Arabidopsis thaliana: one gene and its partner. The protein of the gene in region 1 purifies or fractionates together with the protein of each later gene. This does not show direct contact. Each region holds a gene or a part of one and is shown on either strand. Other genes may lie near its edges.

Region 1 (3,899 bases):
TTCTTTGTCATCATCCATACTATTAATAAGTGCAGATAGCTCATCATCTGATCCATCAGCTCCACCCAAAAGTTCCTGCTCTTCCAGTTCCCTTTCCAAAATTTTAGCCTTTTTCAGTTCATCTTTAGCTTCCGCAAGCTTCCCTTCACGTTTCAGCGTAAGGGCTTTTCTCTTAAGGGCAATTACCTGACTCTTGTCAATACCCCCAGTCTTCTGAGGATTAGCACTTCGCGGAATTTCACGGAGAAGAGACGAAAATTCGCCCTCCAAACTTATAGTTGCTGGTTTCTTATCTTCATCGTCAGACCACCCAAGCTCCCTCAGGTCAGCTGCCAAATCATCATTTCCTTTACCCCCTTGACGTAGAGGCTTTTGTGATTTGCTAGATTCTTTGGTAGCAGCCTTGTTCTGCGTCTCAGCAACATTTCGCATAGACAGTTCCCTTTTCCGGTTCCTTCTTAAAGATATCTCTAATGCGTCGGCCTCTCTCTCAAGTTCCCTCCCTCTCTTAAATGCTTTTAGAGCTTCATCAGATTTCCCTTCTCCTTTAAGAATTCTGTACTTATTCTTCGCTTCTACTGCTTGTTTACGCAATTCTTCAGGACTAGCATCCAACTCCATACCTTTATTACTACTGCTACTTGCCATTTCTTTAGAAGCATTCCTGTCTGTGCTAGACACAGATTCAGATGAAGAAGATACATCAACATCAGAGCCTAGAATCTCACTGAGAACATCATCCTCATTCTTTACAGTCCTTTTCGAGCTACCTCCTGAACAAATTCACAATCTCTTTACATCAAAAACTAGCAGATAACACAAAAGTGTCATAAATAAGATCACTATAGGTACATAAATACCTTTAGCAGCTCTATTTTTGTAACCATGACGCAACTCAAACCGTGCAGCTTCTTCAATTTTCTTACATGGTTCACATATACGCACAGGTGAGTCACCTTGTCCACGTAGTGACAACCTTTGCTGAGTGCAGGTTCCACAGAACAATCCCCCACATCTCCGGCAATGATGCTGCTCGCTCAAAAAAACAAAGCCAACAGAAACTAAGAAAAATTAAGCAAATTCAAAGGTTTTTGGGAGACATAGAAGAATCCAGCAAGTCACAAGTCTAGTAATACACAAACCACAAAACATCCAGATTCACCAAATTTACTCAAAAATATGGAATCTATCAAATAGGCACATCACCAGAAACCGATCATTCAGTGAAGTTTTCCGATAAACAGATTCTGAATTAGATCTCGAAGAAGAATCGACTAAGACGAAACTAAATTTCGATCGAAGAAACTAAGAATCTAAAGATCGCGATAGCAATAAGCAAGTACCAATTGATAGAGAGAGTAAGGAAATTAAGAGAGAGGAAGACCTTGCGATTGATGAAAGTGAATTGAGAAGAACATCCTTGACAATGAGAAGCATCAACGACCCAACTATTTCCTCTTAGAGATGGCTTCGGCGGTAATCCGATCTTCTCCAACATTTTCCCGTCTGATTCTTCTTCTCCTCCGCCGCGAAACGAACTTGGTTTTGATTTTGATCTTACCGGAAATGTAAAAGATCGAGCAGATGAAGAAGAAGAAGAAGAAGAATACTTTTCCTCCTCTATTGTCAGATATAAAATAAATAATTTTAACTAATACGGTATCGTTTTAGCTAAAACACATAATAGGACTCAATATATAAAGCAATAATAATTAGACATGAAACTAATTTTTGCTTTGAGACGAGAACGAAGTTAGAAAGAGACAAGCCCTAAAGATCGCTTTGAGACGATAAACTCTTAAAGTTTCGATTCGTTCACGATGATCGTCCCTGTTCGTTGTTTTACTTGTGGAAAGGTTTGTTTTTTCTTCTCTCTTTTTGTACGATTTCGATTTGTTATATATATATGTGTGTGACAAATCTCTAGGGTTTGTAGTATTGAGATTTATGAAGCTTTTGTTTATGATTTTTTGTAGGTGATTGGGAACAAATGGGACACATACCTTGAACTTCTCCAGGCTGATTACGCTGAAGGGTAAGCGATATATAGTTTATGATTAGAAAAAGAATCATAATTTGTGAGAAATTTTTTTGGTGAACATGAGAGTGATTGAATCTTGGAATTTTGAACGTTTTCTGACATTTTCTTAGTTGAAATGAGAGTCATGTAAAAGATGAAACAATAGTGGAACATGACAATAGAATGATTTGATGGTTTTGTGTAGTCAAAGAGATTGCATGATCTTGTCTTGTATGATCATCTTGAAAGTTTATACATGTTTTAGCCTTGTTACTAAAAGCATGAAGTTAGATCATTGGGATTTTTCGATTTTCTTGTTTTAATCGCTAGTGTAATCTTTAGCCCGTTTGGTTCTAGGTGTTAAGCTACATGATTTGGAATTGCGCAATTTCGTTTTTGTTTTAGTTGCAATTTGATCATCTTGAAGTTCATAGATGTTATCTTAAGTGTTAGTAAAGAGCATGATGGTAGGTGATCACTGATATATTCCATTCTCTTGTTTCTATCTAATCTTTTAGCTACTTTGGTTTTAGGCATTATGCTAAAATTGCATTTTGTTGAACTGAAAATCTGAATTTTGGTTTTGGAATACGCAGGGATGCTCTTGACGCGCTTGGATTAGTCCGTTACTGCTGCAGGCGTATGCTTATGACTCATGTCGATCTAATCGAAAAGCTTCTAAACTACAACAGTAATATCTCCATACCCGGTTCTTTTGCCTTGTGTTGCCTCTGCTCTATTCTTTTTGTTAACTTGCTTATTCGAATACTTCTCTTTTGCAGCTATGGAGAAATCCGACCCCAATTAAAAAAAGATGCTATAATGAATAACAAATCATCAAGAGCTGAAGTGAAGGAGTGATGCATCTCATCCATGTGGGCGTCTTAATAAAACCACAATGTTTCAGAAATTTTGGTTTAATTTATAACTAGGAATGTTGATATTTCAATGTTTTCTGATGTTCTTGTTCGGTTTTAGAAATCTAGACAATTTTTCGAGCCAAAAATAAAGCTCAAGCCTGTAGAGTCATCATCTATTGATTTGTTTTTGGTAATCTAATCCTGATAAATAGTAAAGATCACACATTTGATAAGGTTCAAATCTACAATCTAGATCACGAGTAGGAAGCAGCTCTTTTTGTACGATATCAAATTGGTAATGAGAACAGAGCACATAAAAACAATTTGAATGGAGCTCCCATTTTATAACCGGAGAATATCAAAGTTTTTTAGTTACAAGTGGTTGTATTAATTCAAGGAAACCATTTAACAAAAGAAATATAAATATTTATATTAAATATACACTATAATTAGTTGAATATATATTTATTTTGGATCAAATGTTTATTAAGATATATTTTTATTATAAAAATTTATTCTGAAATATGTTTATTGAACAATATACTGAACTTAACAAACCAAGGAGACTTTTTTTATTTTATTTTTTTTCAAACACAAACCAAGGAGACAAATATGAAGAAAACAAATTACATTTGAATAGAGAGGTAGAGCTATATAACTCACTGAATGCTTGGAAATATTGTCTATTAGTCTATTACAGATTAAGATTTTCTAAAAGAATTTGAGCCCGCTGAACCCAGAATTTGAGAGTTTGGCTTAGACTCAAATTCGAGTTTTTACCTAGTACGCATTCAATATGGAAAATGGTGCAGCACTCAACGCACCAATAGAACACTTTTGTGTTTGTGTCTCTTAAATTACGTTCACATACTTCGCACCAATCTTTTTCACGGACCTCTTCTTCCCATATAGCTGTGAGAAAGTGTTTGTCATGTTCATACCTTGCTCTATAGGGTAATGTAGCACACTTCATACAAACAATAAAATCACATTTGATGCAATTTAATTGATTATGACGT
Region 2 (8,193 bases), on another chromosome or scaffold:
TCAGTAGATTGCTACTACTATTGGGGCTTTGTTTATGATTCTTTTTCTATAACACACAATATATTTCATTTTAAGAAAAAAGAATTTCTAGAAGAAGTTTATAGCTCTAAAAATGGTCCAACAAAACCACCGAGAAACCAAAATTTAAATCAATGTTTAGGCTCTTCTACAATTGATTTCAGTAATTTTCTAAAGAGTAAGAACCCCTTTGGATACGTTTCTGTATTATTTATTTTTCGTAAGGTTTGGTTATTTTAGGATGGCTCTACAAAAAAAATACAATAAACATCTAAAATAACTTGTATCAATTAAAAATAAATATATGCAAATTTCATGCTGCACAGTGGACATCCAGTGGAAGTATTCGAGAATGATTTAACTGTGTTGTGTTGTTTGGTCAGATCGCTGCTAATTGCTATTCTCAAGTCTCAACCTTCTTTTACTGGTACGCACTCAAAGCCCATTATCACCGAAAACATTTCGGTGGATATTTTAATAATTCTCTAATTGATAAGCGTGATTTTATGTCAACTTACAAGGCTTTTCAAAGCCCAAAAAGGGCCACAGGCCCAAGCATAAAGAGAAACATTCACACCATATCTATTTTAAAGATTAATAAAAATGAACAAAACTGATTTTAATTGTAAAATAACAAAAATTTGCTTTCATTGAGAGTTGAACTCAAGACCTCCCGCTTACTAAACGGGTGCTCTAACCAACTGAGCTATGAAAGCTTTTGCTGTTACAATTAATTAAAATCTATATAATACTTTGTAACAAAACTTTTTTTAAGTGTTAGTTAATTTAAAAAGCGTTAATCAATTGAAATGTGGACCTCTTAAAAAAACTAACAAATACAAAAATGCACCATTTGTCCATAGAGTATTGGAAACTAAGTAAACCATCTTCATACTATTGGTCACAACCAAATCCCTTTCCAATTTGTAACGGACGACTAATTTTGGTTTTGTGGTCAAGACTCAAGATAATGCTAATTTTTAAACAAAATTACAGTGCATGAATCTAATCTTTATTTCCTTCTTCTTTTATAACCTTTTTCATACTTACCATTTGCATGCCTCTCTTTAATATTTGTTTTATTCTATAGAAACAAATCACATTATATTGCATTGAATAGATTTTTATTTAAGTTTCATTTATTTGTTTTCAGACACATATCTTTAGATACTAAAGATATAACTAAATATTTAAATCTTATTTCTGGTCAACCCATTCAGACAAAGAATCTTAAATAAAAAAAACTTTAAATTAATTTCTTCCCTAAATATGATATATATTTTTTAATTATGTTACATAAATGTATATATACAATATAAATTTATAGTTTTTTTTTGGTAAGCATATAAATTTATAGTTTGACCAGTGTCAAGGAAACTTAATAAATCAAACAACTTTTTATACTAATAAAATAAAATAACTTTTTGTTTTAATGATATTTAAATATTTAATTATTCAATATATGGTTATTTTGATAATTTTATTTTAAATCATCATCGAATTTCTTGTTGAAATTTCAAAATTGCCGCGTAATCTTAACGGTTTTAGGTACAATTTCATTCACAAAAACCACTAGGACTCACTTCTAAAAATTTCTCACAGCCACAACTACATCTGCATCCCCTTCTGGTTACAAATTAATTCACCTTTACATTGAAATTGACAAAAAAAGGTAGTGTTATCTCCATAAAACAAAATTAAAAGGAAATAAAGAATAATGACCACTCCCTCTCTATATATATAAACAGACGTTTATCATATCCTTAAGAATCACCCCTCTTGCGTTTTAGCTCCCTTGCATTTTCTTCATCTTGTACGCTCCTCCTTGGTCTTAGATTTTCTGAGATATTTCTCTTTTCACTCTTTCTTGTTACGATTTTATCTAAAAATTTAATGAATCATATTTACTGACCAAACACATTGTTGTGGTTTTTTCATGCAGAGAAATGGCTAATCTGTTGCAAAGGCTTCGTAGACGAACCGGGCCAAAGCCAGATTATATTGAAGACAAGTTGGATGAATACATTCGTGAAGAACAAGTTGAAGAAACAGGCGGAAGTAACCAGGTATGTCTTTGTCTTGTTGTGAAATTATAGATCTGCAGTGACTTTTAATTATTTGATCCATTTCAGGATTGTCCTCTTGGCGAGATTGAAAAGATTTTGGACCGTGAATGGCGTCCTACTGCATCTAACAATCCGAATTCTTCTGACAACGGGACACCAACCCTAGTTGTCGTGAAACAATATCTTGTGAAGTGGAAGGGGTTATCGTACTTGCACTGCTCTTGGTAAATTCCCAGCAATATGCGATATCGTGTTGTATTTAATTAAACATGTCGATTATTATGTTTTTGTTGCTTCTCTTGTCTGGTTATCTTATCATCACTTGATTATTAATGTCAATTCTTAGGGTGCCCGAGCAGGAGTTCGAGAAGGCTTACAAGTCCCATCCTCATTTAAAACTAAAATTAAGGGTGACCAGGTTTAACGCTGCTATGGACGTATTCATCGCTGAGAACGGAGCTCATGAGTTTATCGCCATTCGTCCTGAATGGAAAACTGTTGACCGGATTATTGCTTGCCGGTTAAGTGATTCAAGTCTTGTCCTTTGTTTTTATGTCCTTAACTTGATAGACCTCGTTGTGACAATTATGTTTTTTTTTTTTTTTTTTTCCTTTGTGATTATTTATTCATGCGTTTATATTTCTTTCTCTATCTTCTGTGTAGAAAAGTGTGACACTTAATGGATTTCGTTTTGACAATTATGGTTTTTTTGTTTGTGATATGATGTAGGGAAGGAGATGATGGGGAGGAGTATCTGGTGAAGTACAAAGAACTTTCTTACAGAAATAGTTACTGGGAATCTGAATCTGACATCTCAGATTTCCAGAATGAAATCCAAAGGTTTAAGGATATAAACTCTAGCTCTCGTAGAGATAAATATGTCGAAAATGAGAGAAATCGAGAGGAATTCAAACAGTTTGATCTTACTCCTGAATTTCTTACAGGTATTTTATTAGACTACTTGAACAATTTGTATACAGTTTCTGTATAATGTTATTGATTTACTTACCTTATATGTTTTTAAGGCACATTGCATACATACCAGCTCGAAGGGCTGAATTTCCTAAGGTATTCATGGTCCAAGAAAACCAATGTAATCCTTGCGGATGAAATGGGACTAGGTACGTCTTCAAAAATCCATTTCTTTTTTGGGGTTATTCATAGGCTTTGCTTTTATCATTTGTGTAAAATAAGATTGGTTTTGTGGTTGCTGCAGGCAAAACTATTCAGAGCATTGCCTTCTTGGCCTCTTTGTTCGAGGAAAACTTATCTCCTCATCTAGTTGTTGCTCCTCTCTCAACCATCCGTAACTGGGAGAGGGAATTTGCCACCTGGGCACCACATATGAATGTGGTATGTATCATGTTTCGTATATATATGTCACATATACGGTATTAGTTATTTATTAATGTTTTCATCGTATGATATATGCAGGTTATGTACACTGGGGATTCGGAAGCACGTGATGTTATATGGGAACATGAGTTCTACTTCTCTGAAGGGCGTAAAAGTAAGTTTGATGTCTTGCTCACGACGTATGAGATGGTTCACCCAGGGATATCAGTTCTGAGTCCAATCAAGTGGACGTGCATGGTATTTCTGTATTAATTATCTGAATGATACTATATACTTTGTATGTCTTTCTTTTAGATCTCATATTTTGCTTAGAATATCATTCTCTTGGTTAGATTATTGATGAAGGCCATCGGTTGAAAAATCAGAAGTCAAAGCTGTACTCTTCATTGAGTCAGTTTACAAGTAAGCATATCGTTCTGTTGACCGGAACACCACTTCAGGTTCGTCGTTAGTCGATTTTTGGTTCTTCGACTTTCCCAAGGTTCATTCAATCCTACATTAAAGTTTACCTAATTAGTTATGATCTCTGAAATAGTACTATAATTATTATGGTATCAATTCTTTTGTATCACTAATACTTATTTGGTGTTTTTTCAGAACAACTTGAATGAACTTTTCGCTCTGATGCATTTTCTTGATGCGGACAAGGTTAGCCAAAAGATAACGCATATAAAATAAGTTTAGTTTATTCTCTAAAATAGTCATTATAAGCATACAAGCTTGCTTTAATTATTTTATTTTCCATGCTTGCAGTTTGGGAGTTTGGAGAAGTTTCAAGATATAAATAAAGAGGAGCAGATTTCAAGACTCCACCAAATGTTGGCTCCGCATCTGCTCAGAAGTATTAACCAACAAATCTTATTAAGAACATTTCGTTTGAAGTCTCGCACCAAGGGATAACTATAACCATGGTGATTAATCTTGCTTTTATTGTTATTGCAGGGTTAAAGAAAGACGTGCTCAAGGATAAGGTGCCCCCAAAGAAGGAGCTCATTTTGCGTGTTGATATGAGCAGCCAGCAAAAAGAAGTGTACAAAGCTGTTATTACCAATAATTATCAAGTCTTGACAAAGAAACGAGATGCTAAAGTAAGTTTTGTGGATCTCTTGTGCTTATGCAGATGTATATATATTGTCTTGGTTTAGGAACCTTTTAGACTGTACTTGGTAGGATAATTCGGCTGGTTAAACTGTTTCAGATATCTAACGTGCTAATGAAATTACGCCAAGTTTGCTCTCATCCGTATCTGTTACCAGACTTTGAGCCAAGATTTGAAGACGCAAATGAAGCTTTTACGTAACATTTGATCACTAATCTTGACGTATTGATTCCTTTTTAGTATTTTGTGCTGACTTTTGCTTGACCTTTTCTGAATTGTTCTAAAGAAAACTATTGGAAGCTTCCGGAAAGTTGCAACTGTTAGACAAAATGATGGTCAAACTCAAAGAGCAGGGGCACAGAGTGCTAATCTATACCCAATTCCAACACACCCTTTACCTTTTGGAAGACTACTTCACTTTCAAGGTAACCTAATCTGCTATATCTGTTTGTCGACCTATTGATTTGTTCAGTTGGTGTTGTCGCTCTGCAAATGACTTGCGATATAATCTTTTCCTTCCACTTAAAAGTTACTTTTTAATATATCTTGAGACGCAAGGAACAGTAACTTTCTTTTTATAATTTGCTTATATGCAATTAAGGAAAAACTATTGTATGATATTGAGCCGTAACAAATTTATTTTTATTTTGTCAGAATTGGAATTATGAACGGATTGATGGAAAGATCAGTGGACCTGAGAGGCAAGTAAGAATAGATCGGTTTAATGCAGAAAACTCGAACCGGTTCTGTTTTTTGCTCAGTACAAGAGCTGGTGGAATAGGGATAAACCTTGCAACAGCTGATACAGTCATCATTTATGACAGGTTTGAGTTCCAATATCTGTTTAATGAAATGATAAAGTGCTTGTTGGAAGTTTCTTTCCAGAATAACAGAGTGTTTGGATCTTCTAAGTTAATAGCGGAAAGATATTGTAGAGGCATTTAAGATGGTTGTGATGAATTTATTGACATGATTTTTTCACTGGTGTTGTAGTGATTGGAATCCTCATGCTGATCTCCAGGCTATGGCTAGAGTTCATCGGCTTGGCCAAACAAATAAGGTTCTCTTTTCATGGCGTCAATGTGGAATCATCCACTTGCTATTTCATTCTTTTTCTAGCTATGTCACTGATTAAGCCTATATTTTCTTATTTAGGTAATGATCTACAGACTGATTCACAAAGGTACTGTAGAAGAACGGATGATGGAGATAACCAAGAACAAGATGCTTCTAGAGCATCTCGTCGTGGGAAAACAACATCTTTGTCAGGTATATATATATATATGTATTCCTTGTTCGATTTGTTATTGATTCTTATTGCTACAAGGTTTAATTAATTACTGTTTTCTATCCCTGACTGTAATTAGGACGAGTTAGATGACATCATCAAATATGGTTCCAAGGAACTTTTCTCTGAAGAGAATGATGAAGCAGGGAGGTCTGGAAAAATCCATTACGATGATGCTGCTATCGAACAGTAATATATTCTTCTTTCTTTCTTTGTTTTTACTTTCCTAGTGATTTTACTTTAATAGTTCAAAGCCACCATACAATTGCATGGAATGTTCATGATTTGTAGCCACACCTTTTCTTCTGCAGGTTGCTAGATCGTAATCATGTAGATGCTGTGGAGGTCTCACTGGATGATGAGGAGGAAACTGATTTTTTAAAGAATTTCAAGGTTTACTTCTTTCTCTTTCTCTTTCTAGATGAGTGGTTATTGATCAGATGATCCAATATTTGTTAAGGTCCAGAGAATTGTTTAGAGAGTAATAATTCAATGGATATGCTACAAGAATCATCATGTGCATGTGCATGCATATATATACACCCTTTTTTCCTGCAATATTAAGTTATACACATATATTTAGTGGCATTAATTCCAAATATAATTTCTCTTTTTGATGTTATTTCCTGTATATTAGGTGGCTAGTTTTGAGTATGTAGATGATGAAAATGAGGCTGCAGCATTAGAGGAGGCACAAGCTATAGAAAACAATTCTTCAGTAAGAAATGCTGATAGAACAAGTCACTGGAAAGATTTGCTGAAAGACAAATATGAAGTGCAACAAGCTGAGGAGCTCAGTGCTCTTGGAAAGAGGAAGAGAAACGGCAAGCAGGTACGTATACTCTTCTTGATCCCACCTCTCCAGAATCGTTTTATGTCCTTTAGCACAAGTGTTCTTATTCCTGCTTTTGTTAATATTACTAGGTGATGTATGCTGAAGATGATCTTGATGGTTTAGAAGAAATCTCTGATGAGGAGGACGAATATTGTCTTGATGATTTAAAAGTGACCTCTGATGAGGAGGAGGAAGCAGATGAACCCGAAGCAGCTCGACAGAGAAAGCCGAGGACGGTTACAAGGCCTTACAGAAAAAGGGCTCGCGGTACTATACTTTTCCAAATATTGCATTGAAGATGACATCTTGTTGGTTTCAGAGGTTTACAAGTTAAGTAACTTTGAAAATCTATTTTGCTGTAAGATAATTCGGAGGAAATACCTTTGATGGAAGGCGAAGGGAGATATCTCATGGTGCTGGGATTTAACGAGACTGAGAGGGATATATTTTTACGTACGTTTAAGAGGTATATCTTCTTTCTAATAATGTTGTCTAAATTGTGGTTTGGCGTCTCTCAAAGCATCATAGTATATCATAAGTGTCTCAAAACAACTTTTGTAGGTATGGAGCTGGAAACTTTGATTGGAAGGAGTTTGTTAATCCCTTATACATGAAGACCTATGACGAGATAAATAAGTATTGACGACTTAAAGCCATTTATGCTCTTATTTTCAGCTGCTTTACAAAAACCAACAGTTGTTCATTGACACTTGTTAAATTTGTTGTTTCTCAGGTATGGAATCTTATTTTTGAAACACATTGCCGAAAACCCTACCGATAATTCTACAAATTTTAAAGGTAATTTATCACTTTATTGATTATATGTTTGTTGGTATTCTTAGATATATCCAATTGCTTATTTCTGTTATCATATTTTTAAGTTATTACGGCAATGGTCTATGCAGATGGAGTTCCCAAAGAAGGGATAAGCAGTGACGAGCTACTAGTGAGCATGACTTTTATGATGCTAGTAAAGGAGAAGGTAAGCCTACCATTTTCCAGTGTCTATGGAATTTAAACAGTTACTTATTAGCACTAGTAACCGAACCAAAACTTGAGAAGATTCATTGCATTCTTTCTTAAAGTTTTTGCATGTGGTTTATATATCTGAAAGTTTCTCGTTTGATAAAATTTGGTTTGGTCCTCTCTTGTTTGTTTGAGCTCACTTCTCAATGTTTGATGTGACAGTGTCAATTTTTGGACAACCATCCGACAGCACCTGTTTTCTCTAACTACGTCATCAGTAAGTACAATTTGAGAAATGGAGCATTTTCTAAGGAAGAACATGATAGGATACTGATTCCTGCTGTTTCCAAGTAAGAACCCTTCAACGATTATCCTTACTTGATTTTGTTTCTCTTTGTTTGTTTGCTCACATGCATGTTGCTTCCATTCTTGAAACTTTGTAAAAATATAGGCATGGCTATGGTAGATGGGTGGCCATCGTTGAAGACGAAGAGATAGGGTTCCAAGAGGTTGCCTGCAAAGACCTGAATATCCCTTTCCCTCCTGATACTAAATCTGCTCGTAA

What was found.
Region 2: the proteins of AT1G61700 (region 1) and PKR2 fractionate together in Arabidopsis thaliana (co-fractionation; one large-scale study listed by BioGRID). This does not show direct contact.

What each region holds. Positions count from the first base shown.
Region 1 is NC_003070.9:22,785,285-22,789,183, forward strand, and holds AT1G61700 (RNA polymerases N / 8 kDa subunit), read left to right. Parts: upstream 1-1,727; 5' UTR 1,728-1,820; coding exon 1,821-1,856; intron 1,857-1,976; coding exon 1,977-2,035; intron 2,036-2,616; coding exon 2,617-2,711; intron 2,712-2,802; coding exon 2,803-2,828; 3' UTR 2,829-3,096; downstream 3,097-3,899. Other genes in the region: AT1G61690 (phosphoinositide binding protein), read right to left, coding at 1-773, 861-1,029, 1,385-1,498; AT1G61710 (Cysteine/Histidine-rich C1 domain family protein), read right to left, coding at 3,575-3,899.
Region 2 is NC_003075.7:15,429,564-15,437,756, forward strand, and holds the start of PKR2 (chromatin remodeling factor), read left to right. Parts: upstream 1-1,964; coding exon 1,965-2,084; intron 2,085-2,150; coding exon 2,151-2,308; intron 2,309-2,320; coding exon of another isoform or gene 2,321-2,390; intron 2,391-2,430; coding exon 2,431-2,604; intron 2,605-2,813; coding exon 2,814-3,028; intron 3,029-3,109; coding exon 3,110-3,205; intron 3,206-3,300; coding exon 3,301-3,437; intron 3,438-3,518; coding exon 3,519-3,677; intron 3,678-3,772; coding exon 3,773-3,880; intron 3,881-4,037; coding exon 4,038-4,088; intron 4,089-4,193; coding exon 4,194-4,281; intron 4,282-4,382; coding exon 4,383-4,528; intron 4,529-4,638; coding exon 4,639-4,736; intron 4,737-4,825; coding exon 4,826-4,964; intron 4,965-5,193; coding exon 5,194-5,363; intron 5,364-5,532; coding exon 5,533-5,599; intron 5,600-5,694; coding exon 5,695-5,808; intron 5,809-5,906; coding exon 5,907-6,016; intron 6,017-6,138; coding exon 6,139-6,220; intron 6,221-6,464; coding exon 6,465-6,659; and 14 more. UniProt on the Arabidopsis thaliana protein: Chromatin remodeling factor that represses the expression of embryonic trait genes upon and after seed germination and thus enables the developmental switch to post-germinative growth.